Cricetulus griseus: one gene and its partners. The protein of the gene in region 1 interacts with the protein of each later gene in a pairwise test. Links are inferred from orthologs where the notes say so. Each region holds a gene or a part of one and is shown on either strand. Other genes may lie near its edges.

Evidence for each region.
Region 2: the proteins of Mid2 (region 1) and Znf24 interact in binary tests that used the Homo sapiens proteins (3 or more experiments, as listed by UniProt). The two-hybrid records come from large-scale screens. The link is inferred for Cricetulus griseus from reciprocal best matches to the Homo sapiens genes MID2 and ZNF24.
Region 3: the proteins of Mid2 (region 1) and Iqcn interact in binary tests that used the Homo sapiens proteins (3 or more experiments, as listed by UniProt). The two-hybrid records come from large-scale screens. The link is inferred for Cricetulus griseus from reciprocal best matches to the Homo sapiens genes MID2 and IQCN.
Region 4: the proteins of Mid2 (region 1) and Enkd1 interact in binary tests that used the Homo sapiens proteins (3 or more experiments, as listed by UniProt). The link is inferred for Cricetulus griseus from reciprocal best matches to the Homo sapiens genes MID2 and ENKD1.

The regions. Positions count from the first base shown.
Region 1 is NC_048604.1:39,661,742-39,665,842, forward strand, and holds the start of Mid2 (probable E3 ubiquitin-protein ligase MID2), read right to left. Parts: upstream 2,809-4,101; 5' UTR 2,312-2,808; coding exon 2,308-2,311; intron 1-2,307. UniProt on the Homo sapiens protein: E3 ubiquitin ligase that plays a role in microtubule stabilization. Mediates the 'Lys-48'-linked polyubiquitination of LRRK2 to drive its localization to microtubules and its proteasomal degradation in neurons.
Region 2 is NC_048595.1:213,157,240-213,160,756, reverse strand, and holds part of Znf24 (zinc finger protein 24), read right to left. Parts: 5' UTR 3,455-3,517; coding exon 3,035-3,454; intron 2,341-3,034; coding exon 2,196-2,340; intron 452-2,195; coding exon 1-451. UniProt on the Homo sapiens protein: Transcription factor required for myelination of differentiated oligodendrocytes. Required for the conversion of oligodendrocytes from the premyelinating to the myelinating state.
Region 3 is NW_023276806.1:248,292,490-248,296,006, forward strand, and holds part of Iqcn (IQ domain-containing protein N), read right to left. Parts: coding exon 3,081-3,517; intron 1-3,080. UniProt on the Homo sapiens protein: Essential for spermiogenesis and fertilization. May be required for manchette assembly in elongating spermatids.
Region 4 is NC_048596.1:181,985,783-181,988,455, forward strand, and holds the end of Enkd1 (enkurin domain-containing protein 1), read right to left. Parts: intron 1,612-2,673; coding exon 1,486-1,611; intron 1,371-1,485; coding exon 1,207-1,370; intron 1,109-1,206; coding exon 972-1,108; intron 881-971; coding exon 720-880; 3' UTR 512-719; downstream 1-511. Other genes in the region: Pard6a (partitioning defective 6 homolog alpha), read left to right, coding at 1-209. UniProt on the Homo sapiens protein: Microtubule-binding protein which regulates microtubule organization and stability. Promotes the stability of astral microtubules and facilitates the proper orientation of the mitotic spindle.

The sequences.
Region 1 (4,101 bases):
TATGAAAGTAAATAGAAGAGAGAGAGCCCTTCATGGTCCATAACCGCTCTTTCTACTCCACACATTACACTCCCCCGCCCCATCCTAGCCTTGGAGATGGAAGCAGAGTTCAGCATAACACAAATATGAACCCAAAATACTGAGACAAGTCTAGGGCCTCAACACAATCAGCAGAGGCCTCTGTATATTAAAGGTTCTTTAAAAAAATATTGACTCACTGCTGCAAGGTGCTAATCATGCTTGGCTAGCCAGACCTAAAACTATGCCACTTTTTATTGGGCATTAAGTAACTGCCCCCATGTTAGCTAAAAATGGGTGAGGTTGTGTATTCAAATGAGTCTGACTCAGATTGTTAGGTTAGAGTGCAATCAATATGATTTATGACTCGACTTAAAATCATCACCATTACTTTCTATGTCTAATTGTGTATGTTTCCATTCAGCTACACATACATTTGGTGAAACAAATTGACTTAAGATCTAAATTACAATAATGATTTGGATCCCAGGGGGACTAATAATGGCAAATTAAGGTTTCTGTAAATTAGTGTTCCCATTTATACCCAGTCAACCCAGTAACCCAATAAAGGATAAATGAAGTGCTTTCATTGAAAAATATAATGCTGAGGTTTATAGAATCCTTTTATCTTCAAAGGACCAAGCCAATACTCACAATACCCAGTGCATAATATTATGCCTTTTATGCAAGGGCAGCAACTGTCAAAGAAAGGTCATACAAATGTCTAAAGGCCATAAAGCCAATGCAACATCACATTTGCAATGGACTCTCTGATCTTGGCTCCAAGACTTGTGTTTCAACCACATGAATCAAGTTTTGTAAGGAACAATCAAGAGAAATTTAATTCACATTATGAGTCTGTATTAAGTTAATTGAGCAGGAATATATAAAAATAACAAAAACTGACTCTCCCTCAGGGCAGTGATGAGTGGGGAGGTAAAAAGGTGTGTGTGTGTGGTGAGGTGCTAAGCCAGGGTATAGCAGAGGCTCCATAAGCAGAAGTGAGAAATATAAACTCTCTATTTGGCAACCCCTTCTCCTGTTGGAATTCTGTCAGAGTTGATTCGATTTCGGAGAGGAAGTAGAATCGAATTAAAGTCAGCCCTTATGGTCCAATTTGAAAATCGGATTAATTAATCCCCACACAACAGTTGTCTATTATTACAATTTCCAGGGTTTTCCTTCATAAATACTCCCCCTCGGAGACACACAACTGCCATTCACCGGCCCCACCCTACAAAATCTTCCAAAAAAGAAAAAAAGCAAAGTGATTGAAAAGCAAGAAGGTGCGTTGCTGGATGATGTGCACAGGTTGGTAGAGAAAAGCCGAGAGTGCGGGGACTCTGGGGAGAGACGTGGGTGGACAAATGTTGTGAGGCAGGAATAAGAGGCATACTAGTGTCAGTGCATAAGGAGTGCCAAGAGAGTGGAAAGTGAGGAGTCCCATCATCTCAGGATCCTAATTGCCTGCTCGAAATAGAAATGCCTCCAAACTAAATAAATAAATAATGTGCTGCACGTGAAGTGCGAAATAACCTAAGCCAGCTCATGGCCAGTAGTGTTACAGTAAATCTGCCTGCCGTTACTTAATTCTTACGAGCCCGAAATGGGAAAAGCCTCAAATGTTCCTGCTTCAGTAGCAGTGTGTCCTGTGGACACCCTCAAGTTTTCCTTCTCCCCCCCCCCCCCACGGCGCTGCTTTCACAGCTAGGCCAGAAATAAGGAACCACCCAGACAGAGACTTGAGGATCCCTTGCTTCCTCCAGCGAAAAGGGGGGATTAAGTTTCTCCCGGGTTCCCGCCGGCTGGGTGTCCGCAGCATCACAGGCTGCTGCGCCAGCACCGCTGAGCAAACCGCCGACCACGGGGCGCCGCCCGGGCCGAGGACGCCGTGGATTGCGGGAGCGTGGGAAGGCGGCTGCGCCCTTTCCCAGACTTGCGCCTGGGCGCCAGGAGAGCCGCTCCACTGCTTTCTCCCGGCTGGGCCTGGCCAAGCGGGAGGCCTCGGGCCGTTCCCCGCCTGGGATCCAGGAGTGCAAACTCCTTCGCACGAGGGCAGTGGCAGGAACCCGGGTCACCACAGTGTGACAGACACCGCGGGCCCCGCTACTGCCGCCTGGAGCCTCGCGGACCCTGTCTCCCCCCCTCCCCTTCCCGCCGAGCCCGGGTATCCTCGGCCAACGCTGGCACCTGAAGAGCAACCGGAGCCGGGGCCGAGCCCTGCGCGGGCGGCGACACTCGACCCCCCCACCCACCCAAGGGCCGCGACGAGGGGACGCATTTTTTTACCCATATTGTTCTCGGGTGCCAGCCATGTCCTACACGCGCCTGGGAGCGTCGGCCGCTCGCTGGCCTCCGCAGCAAGCTGGCTTGGGCTCCCGTGCGAGCTCCCGGGCCGCTGTCGCTGCCGCCGCCGCCACCACCACTCTAGGCCGCCGCCTGCCTTCGCCGCTGCGGCCGCCGCCGCCACCGCCGCGCAGCAGCCGGGATCCGCCAGCCCGCGCGCCCCACAGGGGACAGCACGGAGACCGCGACGTTCCCGCGTCTGGGTCTCCCGGGCGAAACTTGAGAGTTTTCGCCTCTCAGTCCAGAGGCAGCACCATGACACCACCGCAGCACCACACTGTCATTTCCGCCGCCGCAGAGGAAAAAAAAAAAAGCAATCCCTTCGAAAGGAGGGTGGAGTGGGGGCAAGCGGAGCCGAAGCTGACACCCCCAAGGGAGCACTGGGAGGGGCCCGCGCAGAAGGGGCGCTGGGCCACCTTCCTAGGCTCACCTTCCTCCGCCCCCGCCACTCCCAGCTCCCCGTGCCCCTCCTCTGGAGGCGCGCTTACATGTTTTCTCCCCCGGCAGGAGTGACCGGAGAAACCTGAGCAAGCAAAGGCAGCGGGTGGGTGGGGTTCAGATTACTACTGTACCTACCAGCTGATTCCAGCAGCCTTTTCTCCAGCGCCCTGTCATCTTGATGGAAGACACAGGGAAAAGGGGTCTGAGCAGGCGTGTGTGTGTGTGTGTGTGTGTGTGTGTGTGTGTGTGTGTGTGTGTGTGTGTGTGTGTGTGTGTGTGTGTAGTATGCGTGCGTCTGCGAGCGGGTAGTGTGTGTGAAGTGCAGAGGGAAGACTATGGCCAAACTCTTCTCCCACCCACCACCCACTACCTCCACAAACCCCCAGATTAGCAAGGAAAAGGCACCCGCCAATGAGAAGAGTCTGCCTGGAACCTCCGCACAGGTCCTCCTGATGAAGCTGTACTATTGTACTATGCAAAGTTAACTAGAGAGTAAAACTAGAGAGGCATGGAAGAGATAGAGAAGGACAGACAATTGAAGGAAACCCAACCCCTTTCTCTTTTTACAAAGGGAGAGTGGCTGTGTTCTATTGGCCTTGGCCACAAGTTGTTCGGGTGGATTAAAGCCACTGAAAGTGTATGGGGGAGTAAAGGTTTCTTTTGCACCTTCAGACACTTGACAAACAAGACAAGATGGTCATTAACAGAAGGTCAAAGAGGCAGAAGCTAGTCATCCAAGAATGCTAGGTCCCTATTAAGAAGATTGGTCCATTTGGAACCCAGGAGCCTCCCATTGGTCTGGAGTCAGCCTATTTACTATTGACTCAAAGACCACTGCCCCTCTTAAGGTGGATGAGAGAAGGAAGCTGCCCCAGAGGATACTGCTTTAAACTCCACTCAAAAAGAGAGAAGAGGAAAGCAATCACATGAGCCTCCTATTACTGTGCTTGGGAACAAATCCAGAAAAAAAATGAAGGTTGCTGGGTGTGTCTTGTCAGGGAACCAATAGCAGTCACCCAACAGCACTGTTAAACAGTGTGCTAGAGAACTATGGAGTGGAAATGAAGGGGAAAAACCCAACCATGCTACCTTAAGGGAAGTACAGGGCTGAGAGATCTTAAAGTTAATGCGTCATACCCAAAACACAGACAACAAAAGCAAATGACATATGAGACTACATAGCACCTAACACCTACACAATAGAATGCACAATCAACACAGTTGGGAATGGGCGAAAATATTTGAAAACCATACGTGATAAAGGCTTAATATCTAGAATATACAAAGAGGGTAAAG
Region 2 (3,517 bases), on another chromosome or scaffold:
CACTGAACACATTCATATGGTTTCTCCCCAGTGTGGATTCGCTGATGATTAATGAGCCCAGAATTCTGGCTAAAGGCTTTCCCACACTCAAGACACTTGTAAGGTTTTTCTCCAGTGTGGACTCGCTGGTGCTGCACGAGGATGGAACTTCTGCTGAAGGCTTTTCCACACTCAACGCATCCATAAGGCTTCTCCCCACTGTGGATTCTCTGATGAAGAATAAGGGCTGAGCCCTGGCTGAAGTGCTTTCCACATTCGTCACATATGTGCTGTTTCTTTCGAGAAGGATTTCTCTTTCTTTCAAATCTGCCCTTGGGTAAACAGGTTTCTCCATATTTAAAAATTTGAGGAACACCTATATTAAGAGTACCAGGAACTTCATGAGATTCTACAGCTGAAGCAATCTCCTGCTTGGGAGCCAGTGCTCCATTCTCTGTCCTAGCATCATCATCTGAAATACAGAGAAAATGTAAATATCACTCAGTTCCTATTTGTAGAGGAAAGAACTTGCCTAAAACTTGCTATGTAGACTAGGTTGGCCTTGAATTCACAGAGATCTGCCTACCTCTGCCTCCCAAATGCTGGGATTAAAAGTGTGCACCACCACACCTGACAAAAAAAGGTTTTCATGAACTAAATACAAAATAAAACAAACAAAACCAAAACTGTATATATCTATGAATATATAAATTTGACACTTCTCAAAAAGAAAAAAAGGGGGCGGGGAGATATGAGATCAATGAGCTAATGACATGACAGCAAAATGACACAGAAGGTTTTTACTTAATTTTTTTCTTGGTTTTCAAGACAGGGTTTCTCTGTGTATCCCTGGCTGTCCTGAAACTGATTCTGTAGACCAAGATGACCTCAAACTCAGAGATCCACATACCTCTGTCTCCCAAATCTCCCGAATGCTGGGATTAAAGGTGTGTGCCACCACCCAGCCATGAAGAGCACATGATCCTTCAGAGGACCCAAACTTAGTTCCCAGCACCCCCACTGGGAGGCTCACAAACATCACAACTCCAGGTCTGGAGGGGGGGGGGTCCGACTTCCTTTTCTGACCTCTTTGGGCAATTGAACAAGTAGCATACATATACACCACATATACATACATACATGCAATAAAAAAAAATTTTAAAAATCCAATATACTATTTTTATTAAAATTGACTATTTCTTAAAATAGTCAAAAGGGTGACAAATAGATTATAAAATAAAGGGGAAAAAACCAAACTGATACAGGCTAGGTCTGAAACTTTGGGAAGAAAAATAATGGCCATTAAGAAACGGTTTTTAAGAAATATCAAAATGAATGTATAAAAAAAATCTGTCAAACAATAGTTATTGCTGAAATAAGTCATCGTGTCACAGCCAATACTAGAATCAAAACAGAAACCATGAGTCCTGATTAAGAAACAAGCCAAGGACTGGGTGTGGTGGCAGACTCCATTAACTCCAGCACTTAAAGGAGCCAGAGGAAGGCAAATGTCTGGGACTTCAAGGCCAGTTTCAGACTAGTCAGGCCCACAGAATGAGACCAAGTCTCAAAACAACAGAATAAACAAACAAAAGTCATGACACTTAAAAGTTCAATATACAATAAATTAAAAGATCCGTGTTAAAGAAACATCTTCTGACTTCCAAGGACACCCAGCATGTACATGCTACACAGTCACACATGAAGGCAAAATACCCATACACATAAACTAAAAAAATTAAAAGGGGGGGGAGGTTTCTTAATTAAAAAAAAAAAGACTAGGTAAAATATTGAAGTAAAAAAACAGAAATAGCTGGAATTTTAGGAAGACTTTAGTAACAAAACAAATAAAAAGGGGGAGACTTCAAATAAGTTTACCATATTAATATGGTTAGGCACGGAACTAAAATCAAAACAGCATAAAACAGATAACAGATAAGCAGTACCATGTACAAAACAGACATGGTCTTACAGGCACTGGCTCAAAATAAGGCAAATGTGAGCCACAATATGGGTAGTCTTCATGAAAGAAGGCTGAAAGAAAACCTAAAGATGTTAATGTCTAGGAGTAAAACCACCTGAGGCCAGTGAGTCTATCATCAGTAAAGTCAAGCTCTTCACAGTACAGCTATTTCTAAAGAGCAGCTTAAAAGTGTTTTGCCAATAGAACAAGCAAAGCACTTTGGACAAAAGCCACATGGTGTTCTGGTCCTCACCACAGTGCCTCAGAGAGTGGAGTTCCCAGGATGCCCACTTGAGCTGATTCTCTACAGCATCAAGCTCAGAACTTGGTAATCCCTGAGCATCTTCTTGAGATATCTCCTCTACAAGCACTTCCCGTTTTCGGCGACGGAGAGAAACCTGAAAACAAGATTTTAGTTTGGTTGAGAAGGAATTTTGATACTAAGCACACATAAAAGAAGCCACAAAAAATATACTACAAAGTCCTAGATAGCAAAGCAGTGTTGTGGAATATTTGTTTAATGTGTTGCATCGTGTTGCAGAATATTTGTTTAACTATGTAAAGATGTGTTGCTGTTTTACCTTGCCTGACTATGTATGGCACCTGATTAGTCTAATAAAGAGCTGAATGGCCAAGAGCGAGGAAGGAGGTCCAGGTGGAACTTCTGGGCAGGGAGAGTAAGTAGGAGGAGGGATTTAGGCTCACAGAAGAAAGAAAAGAAGGCAACAGGGAAACACCAGGGGCCAGCCAGCCAGCCATGGAGGAAGCAGGCAAGTAGGACATATAGAATGAAAGAAAGGTAAAAAGCTCCGAGGCAAAATGTAGATGAATAGAAACATGTTAAGTTAAAAGAGCTAGTGGGACGAGCCTAAGCCAAGGCCGAGCATTCATAATAAGTCTCTGTGTCTTCATTTGGGAGTTGGTTGGTGGCCCAAAGACAATTCCAACTGCAGAGCAGCACAGATATTGCAGATTGACAAGGAAGGAGGCATAGACATAATTTTAACTTAGTCAAGTGAAGTTAATCCAGCAGTTTGCCCAACTGCTATGTTAGTGTTTCTGATTTGGGCAAAATGAGGCAAGCATGCTCACCGGCTGTCCAGGATCATCCAGTTCACTCTCCAAGTCCTCTAGAACGGTCACTGCCTCCTCTCCATTCTCTGGGTGATGTTCTCGAACCCAAGTCTGTAGCTCCTTGGGTAAGATGGCAACAAACTGCTCCAACACTACCAGCTCCAGTATCTGTTCCTTCGTGTGTGTCTCTGGTCTGAGCCACAAGCGGCAAAGTTCACGGAGCTGGCTCACAGCCTCTCGGGGACCTGGTGAATCCTGGTATCCAAACTGCCTGAACCGCTGTCGGAAAACTTCTGGGTCAGGGAGATGATTCCAGGAAATGCTTGACCCCTCTTCACCATCAGGATCCTCCTCTAGTTTCACTCTCAGAATTTTTTCTTCTTCATCTGGATTTGGGATGATAAGTACTGAATCTTCTTCCACCGATTGTGCAGACATCCTGTCACAATACTTCAAGAAAGGCAGTCAAGGCAGGATATAGACCTCACCCAGAGAAATACT
Region 3 (3,517 bases), on another chromosome or scaffold:
GAACCCTGAACCAAACCTCTACCCACAGAACCCACTGCTGCACCTGGAATGACCATACCTGCATATCGGCAACTGGGTGGGACCATGGTGGCCACAGAGAGGAGCTGGGGCTCTAATGTAACAGGAAGAGGGGCATAGGTCTGAGGGATGCTGGTGCCCAGCTGGTTTGGAAAGAACTCAGATGGGACCTGTATACTGGGTATCACAGCTGGGCATGGGCCCTGGCCTACACCTGTAGTCACAACAGCCTGTTCTTGAGTCCAGGGGACATCTGCTGGTAAGGTCCAGGCAGCCATGGGGGTTGGGTTAGGCCCCTGACACATGCTTAGGAACAGTCCAGTAGCCACAGGCCCCTGGGGTGTCCCTGGAACTACGCCCCTGAACCAATTCTGACATGGGACACTGGCCCCTAAGACCAGGCCGCCATCCTCTGCAGGTGCCATGGACTGAGCCACAGGACCTGGGGGCCCCCTGCTGACCTGTTTTGGCTCAGAGTGGACAGTGGGATCCCGAGGGCTGGACTGGGTCCCGGTACCTATCATGAATTTGTCCCCTGGGCTGCCGCAGACTCCTAGAGATGGCTGGCCTGTCCTGCTCATCACATCTGGGCAGGACCCACCTAGGGTGAGCATGGAGGGCTGGCTCTGCCGATAGTGTGAAGATGTACTGCTGTCCTCAGCAAGCTGCTGAGGGCCCAAAGCTGGCTTGCTGATGCCTCGCCCCACACCACACACCACAGTGGGTGGCAACAAGCTCAGAGCTCCCAAGGTGGCCACAGATGGCTGGGCAAGATTAGAGCATACCCTGGGAGCCAGAAGTGGGGAGGTCAGACTGGGGGGCACCCTGTTGGACAGGGACAGGGGCGCCTGGAGCACTCCAGGGACCACAGTGCTGGTTGTGGTTGGCTGGCTGAGGTTTGGGGATGTCCCGTTAGCCATAGATGCATGGGCCAGGGTTGGGGACATAACACCTACCACAAAAGGCTGGGCTAGGCTTGGAGACACGCTGGGGGGCACAGACGGCTGCACAAAGTTTGGGGTTACAAGTGTAGCCATGCAAGGTTGGGTGAAATTTGATGCCATGCTGTAGGGTACAAATGGTTGGAAAAAGTTAGGGGACGCCCCGGTGGCTACAGATGTCTGAACTGAGTCTGGGTGCCCTGAACCCTGTGTGGGCATGGAAGAGCAGCCAGGTGGCGGCCAGCTGTTCACAGGGGCTACATGGGTAGTGGCACATGGCTGGACCTGGCTAGAAGTTAACCCCGTGTTCACTGCCTGGTTGCTTAAGGCCAACACACTAGCACCAGGATTCTGGGTAAAGTTTGAGGGATCCCCAGAAGCAATATGTGGCTGGGTATAGACTGGGGACCCTCCATAGTACAGATATGGCTGACTAAAATCTGTAGGTAACCTATAATACATCAATGTTTCTGTCAGTGTTGGGGACATCCTGGTGTCCATGGATGGCTGGGCTAAAGTTGGGAGCACCCTAGTGGCCACAGATGGATGGGGCAGGCTTGGGGCCACCCCACTGTCCATGGATGGCTGGGCCAGGCTTGGCGACTCAGAACTGGTCCCTGCCGGCTGAGATGAGCTTGGACACAGTCCCTTGTCCTCTAATGGTTGGTGTGGGCATGGTGGTTCCTCACTGGTTTCAGGTGCCTGGCCAGGGCTTGGGGCTCCCTCATCAGCCAATACGTCCTGAGGTAGGGCAGAATCCAGCTGAGTGACCCCATTTGGCTGCAGGTCTCCAGCGTGGGCCTGACTCCTCCCATGCCAGGGTGCAGCCGTGTCCTCGGACAGTCCCTGCATGGGGTTCCCAGCGCTGTAGTCAGACCCACTATCTGCACTATCTGAGTCCCAGTGGACATTCACAGACAGGCTGGTGCTATGAAAGAAGACGGAGTCAAGCTCCAGGGGCGGCTGTTGGACCTGGGGGTCTGTGCTCTGAGAACCAGCCGACCATTGTGTTCCCAGCTGCCCCTGCGGCCTGTGCCTTGTCTTCCTGGACTCTTTCAACACTGGCTGGGAGTCCTCCTGCAAGTCCTTGCAACCTCCCAGAGCCTCTGAAGGCGTCAGGCTGGATCGTGTGGAGAGACAGGCTGAGGTGCCACTCTGCAGGGAACTGTGAGAACCAGCGCTGCTCTGGCAGTGGGTATCTGAACCCCTGGGATAGCGCTTGGCTAACACGATCTGTGGGTGCTGTGGGAATGTGGCTAGTAACTCATCCAGAAGGGACATGTGGCGGCCAGTGGCCTGACCCCAGGGACAGGATGGGGACAAGGACACTTGGGGACGTCTCTCCTGTTTTGGGGTGGACATGAGGGAACCTTTTTGCAACTTGGGAGTTAGGTACATTGGTGATGACTTGTCGTCACGCTGTTCATCTATAATGTCCCTCACTACGGTGACCATTTCCTTATCACCCAGCGGTGATACCAGTCTGTGACCCGATGGTAGGATCTGCCTAATTGTCTGCTTGGGCGATGGGCTGAGACTCTTGATTATGGAAGAGCAATGGCAACAGGGAGACATCTTGTGTACCCCCAGCTTCCCACACTGACACACATGGCCCTGGCAGGGGTTGGAGGACTGCCGGGACATGGGGTACCTCCCCCCACCCATGCCACTTGAATGCTTTCTGGCTGCCATGTTGCCCTCTCGGTATGACGCCCAGGGGTAGGACACCCTGCTGGCCACTGGTGGCTGGTGGGAGCTTGGGGCTGTGCTACTAGTCACTGGTGGCTGGTTACTGCTTGGGCCTGCACCATTGGTGACAAGTGGCTGCCACGGACAAGGACATGGCTGTTGGGAAGGTCTCTTGGGGACATGGGGACCCTCACCACATGCCATGGGGTCAAGATCCAATGGTCTCAGATACAGACCAGAACAGAGTCCTGTACCCCTCTCCCAGGACAGTGTGGGTACTGTGATTAGGGGACACTTGTAAGTGCTGGTGACCATCCCTCCAGAAAAGGAGCCTATGGGGGACTGTGGCAAGCAGGGTGACCCCTCCAAGGTGTCCCCATCCCCTTTCCCCCACAGGATCCCATCGGGCAAGCCCTTCCATGGTGGCCTGACCTTGCTACACCGTGCTCTTACGGGGCCCAGTGCAGGTCCCCATGCCAGCGACAGGCTCCCGCTGCAAGTCACCTCCATTGGGGTAGGCGCCGTGGTCATCCGGCTTCCCACCGTTTTCGAGGTGGCTTTGGGGAGGAAGGCGCCTGTCCTCTGGGCCATCTGGGCCAAGGACTGAGTGAAAACAGCACCCAGCTCTCCCTGGCACAGCGCCTGGCTGAGCGTGGCCCTCTCATCTTCTGTCAAGGCCTTGCACAGGACCTCAGCCAGCTTGCCCTGTGTGGCCTTGCTGAGTTCTGGACGCAGCTCACCACGGGACAGGGCTCGGGACAGGTAGATGCCCAGCTCACCCCATGACAGTGCCTTCATCAATGCCATTCCCAGCATGCCTTGAGGCAGGGCCTTGACCACAGAGGGGCCCAAGACTTCCCGGGACAGAG
Region 4 (2,673 bases), on another chromosome or scaffold:
GTGACGATGACAGCAGTGACGTGGTCATTGAAAACCGCCACCCTCCTTGTTCTAATGGGCTGTCTCAGGGACCCATGTGCTGGGACCTGCAACCTGGCTGCCTACTTCCTGGTGCTGGCAGCTCTCTGCCCTCCTTGGATAGCCAAGAGCAAGCCAACTCTGACTGGGGGAATGACATACGAGGTGATGTTAGTGGATTCAGCCTCTAACAGTCAAAGATGCAGCCCTTGACCCTTTAGGCTGCTGGAACGTGGCATAGACTTTCCAGTTGGGGAGGGAAGATAAGCTTGTTCACAGAGCCCTCTCAATAGAGAACATTAAAGATTTTCTACAAATGTAGATATGGTTGTTCTGTGTCCCAGCCCTAACCTCTTCCCTGACCCTGTGAGTCAGGCCTCTGTGGACATGAGGCAGGAGGGATAATACCAGCACTTGAGAGACCTTCCTCTAAGTATGCAGCAGGAAGCCACTGAACTTGGCATTTCTAAGAAAGATCCTATGGAAACAGCTGTTGTGTACAAAAGGTTTAATTTTGACATAGGAGTTGGAAGGCTGGGTGGTCCTTCTACAGCTACTGATGACTAGGAAGTGCTTTAGAGAGACTGCCCACCCCAATGTTCCTGTCTTTGGAACTGTGACAGGGCTTGAGTCTGCACTTTGTAGCCATGTAGCAATCCTCACTGTGGATCTCCCTATCATTCTACCCACAAAGACAGGGCTTAGGTATCCATCTTCACAAAGACTTTGGGTCGGGAAAAGATCTTGATAGCCTCTTCTATTTGCACCAACTTCTGGTCCAGTTCAGCACGGTGGCCCTGGGCTCTTAGAGAGTCTGCCCCAGCAGGTAGCAGAACTAATTCACGCAGCAGCTGACTCTGACCTACAAGGGAGCATGGAAAACAGTGAATGCTGGGTAGGGGTGCATGGTGCCCCTTGGGCTCCCTTTCAGCCACCCTTGCCCAAGTACTCACTCTGGAGCAGATTGTTCAGTGTCTCTAGCCGCTGATTCTCAGGCATGAGTGTGTGGCCAGGGGGCATGGCAGGATCTGGCTGGTTATGCTGGCGAGCTTCAGCTTCCCTCCGCCACAGATCCCTGCGCTCCAACAAGCTATAAATGCACAGGCCCAGGGTTGATGACACCAAGACAGACAGTTTCCCACCCCCCACAAAGGTCCATAACCATACTTGCAGGCCCATGTAACCTACTAACGGGGCACATGGCCTTTCTGTGTGGCATTGTAGTGCTCCTGGGCTTGTCGCTGTTGTTCCAGAACCTGTGCAAGGACCTGCAGTGAACGTGAATGGCGCCGGGGGGCTCTCTTGGCAGCTCGGGCATTGTGACTAATGAAATCCACATCCAGGCCTGGTCCCTGCAAGGGACATGGCAAGCATGGTGGGGACCCTGGAGCACTGTGTTGGTTCTCTGTACCCCACTCCCAAGAAAGGCCAGCTAATAGCCTTTCTAGTCCCCACAGAACCTCTCACCTTAGCTTTGGGACCTGGCAGGGTGAGCTGAGGACTGGAGACACGGGATGGTGGGAGCCCAGGGCCACAGCGGGAGTGTGCCCGCAGGAAGTGGGAAGGCTCTGTTACAGAGGCAGGGCCAGGCTCCTGGAAGGTGGGGCAGAGCAGAGGAATCAGGAAGTCTGAAGACAGGGTCCTTTCTGTCCCTCCTTAGCCTCTAAGTACCTTTCTGTGATCATCCCTATGGGCCTCCTCCTTGAAGGAAGATCTCTCAACAACATTCAAATATGCTTGTCTCTTAAAGCTTTAAGAACACTAACTACCAGCCGGGCAGTGGTGGCGCATACCTTTAATCCCAGCACTCGGGAGGCAGAGGCAGGCAGATCTCTGAGTTCGAGACCAGCCTGGTCTACAAGAGCTAGTTCCAGGACAACCTCCAAAGCCACAGAGAAACCCCATCTCGAAAAACCAACCAACCAACAAAAAGAAAACAAACTACTTTGCTATATACATTCATCCTCATTTGTCTACCATCCTTTCCTCCATTTTCACTCATTCATTCTATTTATTTACTTTTGGGTTTTCAGGACAGGGTTTCTCTGTATAGCCCTGGCTGTCCTGGAAGTTGCTCTGTCTTGAATTTAAAAAGATCTAACTGCCTCTGCTTCCCTGCTGGGATTAAAGGCACAAGGCCACCACCACCAAGCTTCTTTTCTCCTTTTAACCATGCTTTCTGGATCTAGCACCCCAAAGTTAATGAGGGTTGCCCCCAAGTCCTCAAAACCAAGGGCTGCTTCCTTAGACCCACTGTCCTCAATTTAATTGTCAATGACACTCTGGTCTTACTGATGAGATCTAGAGCTATGTATCCATCTGCTTCCTGGACACAGTCCTACCCCCTGGCAGTCCCACACATGCTTCAGTCTAAATACAATCTCATGTGACCTTGTCTTTTCTCTCAGTCCTCTGTGTCTTTCTGGGTTCCTGAATAGAGAAATGGTAACTAATCTTCCTCTCTGTCCTCAGAAACGTTTCAAGGAATGGTGGTACATGTTTATAGTCCCAGGACTCAGGAGGCTTCAGTAGAAGGGGCAAAAATTTGAGGCCAGTCTAGGTTATACAGAGAATTCAAGGACAGCCTGAGGCTAAGCAGCAAGCTACAGCCTCAGAAAGGAGTGAGCTGGAAGTGGTGGTCCAAACCTATAACCT